2 linked regions of the Arabidopsis thaliana genome follow. The protein of the gene in region 2 purifies or fractionates together with the protein of the main gene of each other region. This does not show direct contact. Each region holds a gene or a part of one and is shown on either strand. Other genes may lie near its edges.

What was found. Proteins that work in one complex are often made in the same cells at the same time.
Region 1: the proteins of AT5G08300 (region 2) and AT2G20420 fractionate together in Arabidopsis thaliana (co-fractionation; one large-scale study listed by BioGRID). This does not show direct contact.

What each region holds. Positions count from the first base shown.
Region 1 is NC_003071.7:8,803,496-8,808,716, reverse strand, and holds AT2G20420 (ATP citrate lyase (ACL) family protein), read right to left. Parts: upstream 3,376-5,221; 5' UTR 3,144-3,375; coding exon 3,045-3,143; intron 2,862-3,044; coding exon 2,751-2,861; intron 2,669-2,750; coding exon 2,557-2,668; intron 2,460-2,556; coding exon 2,395-2,459; intron 2,300-2,394; coding exon 2,222-2,299; intron 2,113-2,221; coding exon 2,038-2,112; intron 1,932-2,037; coding exon 1,779-1,931; intron 1,696-1,778; coding exon 1,561-1,695; intron 1,472-1,560; coding exon 1,307-1,471; intron 1,221-1,306; coding exon 1,098-1,220; intron 1,009-1,097; coding exon 859-1,008; 3' UTR 546-858; downstream 1-545. Other genes in the region: RIC6 (ROP-interactive CRIB motif-containing protein 6), read left to right, coding at 1-50; AT2G20410 (RNA-binding ASCH domain protein), read right to left, coding at 4,523-4,564, 4,658-5,197. UniProt on the Arabidopsis thaliana protein: Succinyl-CoA synthetase functions in the citric acid cycle (TCA), coupling the hydrolysis of succinyl-CoA to the synthesis of ATP and thus represents the only step of substrate-level phosphorylation in the TCA.
Region 2 is NC_003076.8:2,665,795-2,670,472, reverse strand, and holds AT5G08300 (Succinyl-CoA ligase, alpha subunit), read right to left. Parts: upstream 3,113-4,678; 5' UTR 2,895-3,112; coding exon 2,643-2,894; intron 2,426-2,642; coding exon 2,216-2,425; intron 2,084-2,215; coding exon 1,913-2,083; intron 1,640-1,912; coding exon 1,516-1,639; intron 1,279-1,515; coding exon 1,217-1,278; intron 1,116-1,216; coding exon 1,034-1,115; intron 944-1,033; coding exon 801-943; 3' UTR 550-800; downstream 1-549. Other genes in the region: AT5G08305 (Pentatricopeptide repeat (PPR) superfamily protein), read left to right, coding at 1-339; YLS8 (mRNA splicing factor, thioredoxin-like U5 snRNP), read right to left, coding at 3,537-3,845, 4,311-4,430. UniProt on the Arabidopsis thaliana protein: Succinyl-CoA synthetase functions in the citric acid cycle (TCA), coupling the hydrolysis of succinyl-CoA to the synthesis of ATP and thus represents the only step of substrate-level phosphorylation in the TCA.

The DNA.
Region 1 (5,221 bases), on a different chromosome or scaffold from region 2:
CTGGTTCTGTGAGATCTATGCCTCAATTCGACAATAGAGATGATTTTTGAAAGGAGAGACGACATATATAGAGACTTTGCTGCTAGCTCCAAATGGCTAATTTTCATTGAACACAACACACCAATTGTTAGATTTTCTTGTTCATTCTTGTACTATTATTAACTATGCAAGGAGAATTTAGACAAATATTTTTCGGTGCTATCATCCAAATCACTTGAACATAGATCATCATTGACGTCGATCATAAATATAAAAGAGCATTCTTACAGAACAAATCAACAGCATCTTTCACTTTACTAGAAACCCTATATATGAATAAAAACTTCTTGGACAAGAGCTGAGTAGTGTTAGTGTGATTTTCCTCTTCATCATAGCCCTCAGCAATAGAGCTGCATCACTACAACAATGGAGCTGCAATCCTGGTCAAAAGTTTTTGTAAATAATCTTCTTTCCTTTTGGTAATATAATTAACATTCTATCAAAAAATAAGTTTATCGTTTTGACCGTTAAATTGGAAACAGAGGACAGCTCTGTTTTGTGAAAGCCTTTTGTAGAGAGAGGGATTAATTTTGTTGTTTCAGTGACAGCTATAGTGTGGCTTCCCACAAAAACGATTTTTATTCATGATAGGAACAGTACGTATGAGATAAACTTGAAACCCTAGTATCAACCATATGAGTTGGTTAAATACAAAAAGATATTGAGAATTCTGATTTGAATCTCTTTGGATGGATCACACAAAAAAAGGAGACCAGTTCATTATTGATCTGTTTGAGGAAATGATATCCGCAAGAAAGTGTAAATTGGGCGTCAACCACAAAACAATTAACAAACCGGCTTTTGGTATATATAGAGAGATTAGTGAGCTAAAGCTTTAACCGCTTTCTCAGCTGCATCATCCAAATCATCAGCTGTTATGAGTTTCATTCCACTTTCCTTGAGGATTCTCTTTCCCTGCTCAACATTCGTTCCTTCTAGACGAACCACCACTGGCACTTTCAATGCGACCTGTCCTCGCCATTCCACACAAACACTCGGATTTATTTTCAATCATGAATATATGAAATATTATGGTAACAAGGTTGTTTCTCACTCACCTCTTTTGCAGCGTTCACGATTCCACTAGCAATCACATCACATTTCATTATCCCACCAAATATGTTCACCAAGATTGCTTTCACTTTATCGTCCGATGTCAGTATCTTAAACGCTTCCACCACCTTATTTTTTGACACAAACCTCTATTAAAATTGGTTTTCATTCCAATGATTCCCAAAAGTGAAGAAAGAAAGAAGGTTCCTTTTACCTGGTGCTCAGAAGCATTTCCACCAACGTCAAGGAAATTGGCGGGTGTTCCACCGTGTAATTTAATGATGTCCATGGTTGCCATGGCCAATCCAGCACCATTCACCATGCAACCAATCTCTCCATCTAAACCGATGTAGTTCAGGTCAACTTTAGCAGCAGCCACCTATGAGACACAACACACTATTCCTTTTAACATCCTATCGAATTAACATAACAATGGCTTTCTTGATGATACAAGAGATAGACAGAGACCTCTCGTGGATCCTCCTGTGTTGGATCACGCATGGCGAAAACCTCTTTTTGTCGGAACGCAGCATTATCATCGAAGTTCAATTTGGCATCAGCAGCTACCAATTGATTAGTTGATGTCTCCGCAAGGGGATTGATCTACAAGAGAAATTTGGAGGTTCAACAAAAGATATTTATAACTGAAGAAGTGTGTAGAAAAAAGACAGTGAGAGAGAACTCACTTCCAACATTGTGCAGTCAGTCTTGCGGAAGAGTTCGTATAGCTTCTTCACTTGTTCAATCGAATCTTTTCTGTCAGCAGCTTTGGGAGCCAGACCATCCACAACCTTAGCAGCATCTTCATCAGTGATTCCTGCAAATACATCAATTGGTACCTACGCAAAACCATGACTTGAGGTGTCAAAAACCCGCATGAGAAAGAATCTCAGAATGATATTTACTGGAGATCAGACCACCAAATACGAATCAAACAGTAACAACCTTGATGATCATGTCAGGGAACTTCTCAGCAAGATCTTCAATACTGGTACCACCCTTTTTACAGGCAATGATCAACTGATATAGGAAAGGAAAGCGTTTTAGATATTACAGCAGGGTATGAAAACAGCATGCCTAGAAGTAGGGAAATGAATAGCAGCAGCTCATCATTTGCGTAGTAGCATACCGGTCCAGCAGATTTACGGTCCAGAATAATGGAAAAGTACATCTCATTGACGAGTGACAATTTCTCACACAAGTAAACCTGCTCAAAATGAAGACACAATGAATAAACAAAGGTGCAAGAGCAGTGACAATAATAGAAGAAAAAACACCAATCATGAATAACAGATAACAAACCTTGCTAACTACTTTGCCTTGAGGACCAGTTTGCTTGGTGACAAGTACTTGTCCTAGCATCTTTCCTACAAGTAATAAAGATTTGAAATAGATCAATAACTTGTACAACAACAACAAAAAACAGACTCCAGAAAGCCACAAACAAGAAATCCTGTACAATACCAGCAATCTCTTCAGCCTCATCACGTTTAACAATGTGAACACCACCCTTAAGACCACTCTTGAATGTTCCAAGACCTCTTCCACCAGCCAAAATCTGGCTCTTAACAACCAACTGTATCACACGAAAATGACACTCTTTCAATTAGACAACAACTAATAATAGAGATTAGAATCGAATCCCTCACTGAATTTACCTCGCTTTCATTAGGGAAAACATCTTGAATAGCCTTTTTAACTTCTTCCAACGAAGAAGCAGCTACTCCTTTCGGCACATTAACTCCATATTTCCCCATCAATTCAGCTCCCTGGTTGTATCAGAATCACAATACAAACTTTACATTATCCTAAACCCAGAGAATTCTATCAACCACAAATCAATCAGTGGATCAACACAGAAACAACAGACAAAGACACAGATCGTACTCGAATTCTGACTTGACAAAAGCGAATCTAGGCAACTATCAAATGGAAATGAAGAGAAGAAGAACCTGATACTCGTGGATGTTGAGACGACGAAGCTGTTGGTTCTGCCATTTCCCGGAGATGGAGAGAGATCTGGACACGAGCTTGTTCACCAATCCCCTCATCGTTGGATTTGTTAGTAGTCGAAAAGTAGCCCAAGAGAAAATGAGAAAATGTAGAAAGAGCAGAGAATAGTCGCAGCTATGAATGATCGAGTCTAACCCTAATTTTTTCCTACTTTATGAATTTTCAATTTAACCCTCTCTATTCTTCTATGTCGCCGGCTCATTTAATTCCAAAATATTTTTGGTAACTCTTGTTAGAAAAAATCTAAGATTTTATTTTCAAAAAGTCTATATATGAAAATACCAAAGTACCATTTTAATTCACTAACAATATAACAATAAAAAAACTAAGCAATACAATTTTTCAATAAAAATGCTAACCCACTAGAGATTGACATCAGATATATCGCCGGATAATTTTTTCCTTTATAAATCTATAATTTTATTGTATATAACATCGACTGATTGTGTATTATTTGTAGTATTATTTTACTTGTATATGACTAAATATTTATATGAATAAATTTTATCCGACTTATCGACAAGACAAATTTTTAGTTACTGTATTTTAGATAATAATTTTCAGTTTATTTGGTTTTTTAATTTCCAGTTATTTAATTTTGAGTCTAATTAAAATAAAAAAATGATCATTTATTGTTTTCTCAATACATTTGATATTATTTACTTTCTGAAAAAATGAGGATACTTACAAAAGTTTCAATTATTTATTATGTACTTATGATATTACTGTTATCATCACCAAAATGAGCTAAGCCAAAAGCTTTAGTATTACTGTAAGGAATCTTCCACCGGTACGGTTGAGTAAGTTGAGTAAACCGGGATTACTCAAAAAGAAAAAAATTGTTGTCATTGGAACATAAGCCCCGTTCAGTTAGTCCGATGAGGACCAAGTGAATAACTGTCGTGAATCGAACGGCCATGATGTCATCGACGGAGAGACAACAGAAGCTCCACACACGCGTCTCAGCTTATAGAATCTCTCCACCGCATGATTCTCTCGTTACCGAGGCCGCATCTCTGCGAAAAGTGGCCCGGGGACTTTCCTGGGTCGGAACTTAGACAAGCCCATGTGACCCATTCACTTTGTCCAATGACTATTGTTACTTGTTTTCGTTTTCGACTAAATATATACACAACTGATATTTTGAAACTACCGATGTGGGACAAACCCCCCAAAAATATAAACATTCTTCTAAATCTGACCAAAATATAGTAATTTAGTAAAATTCGACTAAACAGTCTACTCAAAACTCATTGCTCTGTGTATTTATTAGTCCACATGATTATTCTCTCATATAAGTTAAATTGAATGTGTATACAATAAACCTATAAACTAACTCTAAAACGAACTTCTCAAACTTTGAAATGAACATGTTTTAGAAAGAATGCAAAATATGGTACAACCTTGACGCATTAGATCAAGAAGGTGGCTTCAAGTTCCTAATTGCAGCGGCCATGATCTGAAATAATTCCACATGTGAAATAAAATCAGACAACAACAAAGTCAACAATTATTGTTGTAATTATCGCTTAATGTAAGATAATAAACGTACCCGGGCAGATCCAGGATCAAACCTTCTTTCACCAATTCTTGTATTCCTGTCCTCACTCTTTGTGACTGCACTTCTTTGACTAGATTCAACTTTGCTGCTGCTGTTGCTGCTTTCACTACATACTTCTTCACCCATCTGTGTGCCTCTGTTCTTGCTTCTTGTTCTATAAGTACGGTCAGACGTTCCACCAGAACCAAGAACCGGGTTATCTAGGGATTCTGCTGCTTCATCTTCAATAACTTTGCTCTTGCTTCTTGTTGTGTAATCAAATATATTATTTGTTTGGAGACTTTGTCCCTTCTTAGAAAATTGTGTCGCCGCTGCTTTTGCACCGGCGATTGCAGCTGTGAGGCTGGTAACTTGCTTGATTGCAGCTGTGAGGCTGGTAACTTGCTTTGAATCAAGTTCTTTCTTCTCTTGCATTGTACAAGGAATAGAACCAGGTTTTAAGGAAAACGGGTCTTTTGGGTCAGGAAGAGGGAATTTCACCTTAAAAGAGTTTTGAGAAGGCATAAGACCTCTAGCTGCTGCTACATAAATCTGTTTCATTTAGAAATACAGTAA
Region 2 (4,678 bases):
AATCACGGAAACTTGGAGCTTGCGGAAACAGTTGGAAAGAAGCTTATAGAGTTGCAACCACATAATGATGGACGATATGTCGGGCTAGCAAACGTTTATGCGATCAACAAGCAGTTTAGGGCAGCTCGGTCTATGAGAGAAGCAATGGAGAAGAAAGGAGTGAAGAAAATTGCAGGGCACAGTATACTTGATTTGGATGGAACACGACATAGATTCATCGCTCATGACAAAACACATTTTCACTCCGACAAGATCTATGCAGTGTTACAGCTGACTGGAGCTTGGATGAATCTCGATGTTGACTATGATGATCAAGACAATCATTGTTTTTGTTCTTGACAACCACCACAATGTTTGCATATATAGTTTCCTAGATAAAAGGTTTAGCTAAATTATGTTACGTGATCAAACTTCAAAGAGTTATAGAACAATTCTGATGGTTTGTGCAGTTGGCAATATAACCCAACTTTTAGTTCCAAAAACATTACAAGTTTCAGCTGTGTTCAGATAATTTACTACTCATTATTTGGGTGCTAGAAAAAGATATAATGTTGTGTAAAGAAACATTGCTTCACTCTTATTTCTTGTACTGGAAGATAACATTAAAAATAATCCAATGCCATAAGATTTGAATCTCTTTTAATTATCACTGTTCAATTGGAAAAATCATATCAATATAGCAAAACAAACCCCAAAAAAGTGTGCAGCCATCAATGGCGTGGAATTAGGGTTTTTTTCTTTTCTTTTTTCTTGAAGGTTTCAAGATGGAAAAAAAGAAGCGAAAGCTAGTGAAATTCACTTCACTGCTTCAAAAGACCTCTTTCTTGAAAGAGCTCATACATCGCTGATCCAATCTTAGCCGGAGATTCAACAACCTTCACTCCAGCATCATTCAAACTCTTAATTTTGTCCTGAGCCGTACCTTTACCACCGGAAACAATGGCTGCAACAAACAAAAACCAGAGGAGTGAGTGAGAGCAACAGACCAAAAATATTAAATCCGGTTTAGGCTTCAGATAGCTTATGAAAATACCTCCGGCATGACCCATTCGACGACCCGGTGGTGCAGTAAGTCCAGCAATAAAAGCAACAACAGGCTTCTCAGTACCACTTGCCTGTTTATATTCACCAAAACCCAAAATTTGAATTTTACTTTTAAGAATGAGAATAGAGAGAGATGGACCAAGATGAAAGAGATTCTCAGTGGTATTATTACCTTTATCAATGCTGCAGCATCTTCTTCTGCAGTGCCTCCGATTTCTCCAATGAGAACGATACCTGAATCAGCCAGTTGTTTCTTAGTTTTTAAATTTTAGCTACCAACTAAACTAAGAAAAGAGAGGAATCGAAGCCTTCTAAAACAAGAATTTCATAACCTAAAGAGATTAGGTAAGTATGTGGTCATTCTTCTACTAAATGATCTTTAAAGTTAATCTATCTAGAGGAAAAATAAAATTGGAAAACGGTGAAACAGAATTAAGATATGGCTAGATAACTCCAGTTTGAAAACCTTACCTTCTGTTTGAGGATCAACAAAGAATTTCTCCAAGCAGTCGACAAAGTTTGTCCCGTTAAAAGGATCCCCACCGATTCCTACACAAGTAGATTGGCCTAGACCCACTGCAGTTGTTTGGAAAACCTGCAGGAAAGTCAAAACCGAAACAATGTTTAGAAATCGTAAGAAATATAAGGCCTAATTCAAAATCTAGAACCAACAAAAACCTGTTTATATAAATTTTCAAAAGCTCCATAGTGTAACAAAAGAACCATGTTCAATCTAACCTTTGGAGGGATTTATACTAGAAAACAAAACTAATTTCGGAGATTTTTCCCAGGCTAAAGACTATGGTGAAATAAACTTGAGAGAGATGGATACAGAGAACAAGCATCAAGCATAAGAAAAAAAACTTACAGCTTCATATGTCAAGGTTCCAGATCGTGAGACAATTCCAATCTTCCCAGGCTTGTGGATGTATCCCGGCATAATTCCAATTTTGCATTCACCAGGCTTGATAATCCCAGGGCAGTTTGGACCAATCAGCCTAGTTTTCGATTGACTGTTAAGAGCATGCTTTACACGTACCTAAATCAGAAACATCACTCAAGTCAAAGAGAGAAGCACAAGAGATAATTATATCAGTATTCAATCCTATGTAATAAGCACTGAAGGAGATATAACAAACAAAATCAAAGGCATGGTGATAATAATAAGTACCATGTCATGTTGAGGGATTCCTTCGGTGATACACACAATAAGATCTAACTCAGCCTCAATACCCTCCATAATAGCAGCAGCAGCAAAAGGAGCAGGAACATAAATCACAGAGGCATTGGCTTTGGTGTCAGCCTTAGCTTCAGCAACAGAGTTGAAAACTGGGAGACCCAAGTGTTCTGTTCCACCCTTCTTCGGTGTCACTCCTGCCACCTATTATTACACAATAAAAACGCACACAACGTAAATTAGTAAAGCCACTTGCTTTAAAGCAATCTCTCATCTCCAGGATCTAATGGAATTTAGGTGATGAAAAAGCATATATATGTGTACTCATTGTCAAAATCACTAGAAAACCCCTAAACCAAATGTAATCGGAACAATGGAGAAATACCCAATTCGAAGAAGATAAAAAGAATCAGGATTTTACCATTTTGGTGCCGTACTCAATGGCTTGTTCAGTGTGGAAAGTGCCGTTCTTTCCGGTGATGCCTTGACAGAGGACTCGTGTGTTTTTGTCAACGAAAACCGCCGCAGGAGGATGAGGATCCGACGCGAAGGAGCGAGATTGGGTCAACGAAGTGAGAGACTGGCATGACGGAAAAACCTCTGAGCCGCCGGTAGAACAACGGCGAGCTTTTGATGACAGAGATCCGATAAGCCTTGCCACTTGTCTAGACATGATTGATTGGCTTCTTCTTCTCGGTGCTTTCGATCCGAATCAAGTTGTGAACCCTAAACTGTGTGAAGACGGAAATGGAGCAAAGAAAATTCAGCGGAGCTCGGTTTTGAAGAATCAGCTGAGATCAAAAGCCGACAAAAGAGGCTTCCTTTAAAGGCTACACTTTTCTCAATTTTAGCCCAAACCCATTTATTTCTAGATGATGGACTTTTTAGAATTTATTTCAATCATTCTGTCAACTAAAAATTATTTAAAATCTTTCTGGAATCTTTCTCAAACATTGAGCTCTTCAGAAAAATTATGAATAAACGTATTCTGTAAAATCTTTCAATAGTAAAAAGTTTCATTTTCGTATCCATCGTTGGTACTTGGTAGACAAATGGTGTCACATATACATAACCCAGGAAGATCAAAGATGCATATACATAAACCCAACGGCTTCCAAATTTCATTTCACTGAATCATGTTCGAAGCAAGTAGTTACATACATAAATGGAGAACAACCGAAACAGTAAGCAAAAACCAGAATCACAATCATCATCAAAGCATATATGAAATGAAACCAGTTCACGGGATATTTCAGCTGACCAGAATCACTAGACTCAATGGTTTTAACAAACTAGATAGTGTTGGGAAGCTCGATTAGTAACGGTATTTGGTGGAGTAATCTTTTGGAGCAATCACCAACCCACGACCCTTCCTTGCACCACGGTAGACAGTCTCAATGATATCAATGAACTCCTGCTTGTCCTTGAGAGCCCAGTTGATCTTGTTGTTGTTACCAGTTCCAAGATCGATCATGATGTGCTTGTTCCTGAAGAAGAACATGACCGTAGAAGGATCGTACAGCTCGTACATGGTGTTGAAGTCTGGAACCTCAGTGATGTCCACCAGATAAATGACTGCAAAGTTCTTAATCGTCTCAGCAACAGACGCAAGCACCTCATCCATCTACAAAAATCAAAAACTTCGAATCAAAACAGAAACCAGAAACTGAATACTAGAATCAATTGTAAGTGAAGCCCTAAAATTTTAATCAGTTCCAAGATAATAAAGATCACACGAATGGCTAAAGTTTCAAACAATCAACACAACATATCCGGAATATTCCAAGATCACCAAATTCGCAAGAACAAAACGAAGCATAAATCACAGAAATGGACACTAAAACGGACACATTCAAAACCTTCTACATAGTAACCAACTCCAACAACTAGGATTTTTTTGAGTGAAACCCTAATTTCATCAGTTCTGAGCTAAGGAACACAATTTTCAAACAATCACCACAAAGTATCGCAATTTTCCAGTACGAAAGGATCCAAATCGAGAGCTATGAACTACAAATCGAATCAAAAACATATAATCAAGCTCAAGATCGAAATATAAAGATAAGAGAGGAAGAAACGTTTGACAGACCTGCATACAGGTCTCATCCCAGTCATGGCCGAAACGAATGACGACGAGACGCTCTTCCTCGGCCAGAATCGACTGATCAACAGCCCAACCGGAGTGCAGATGTGGAAGAAGATACGACATTCTCTCTCTCTCTCTCTCTCTCGACGATTTTCCGATCTGTTTCGATTCAACCTTTTTTCTCTCTTGCCCTAATTTTATATTCTCTTCCCAATTTTGTTGACGGTGACGGCGCGTCGATTCCACGCGTGAACCGCATAAAGCGTTTGGGCTAAGCCCTTGATAATACTTACTTTCCGGCCCAATAAAAGATAAATCGACGAGATTGCGAAACAGACGGTGATTAAGGTAGTAGAACACCATAATCTGGT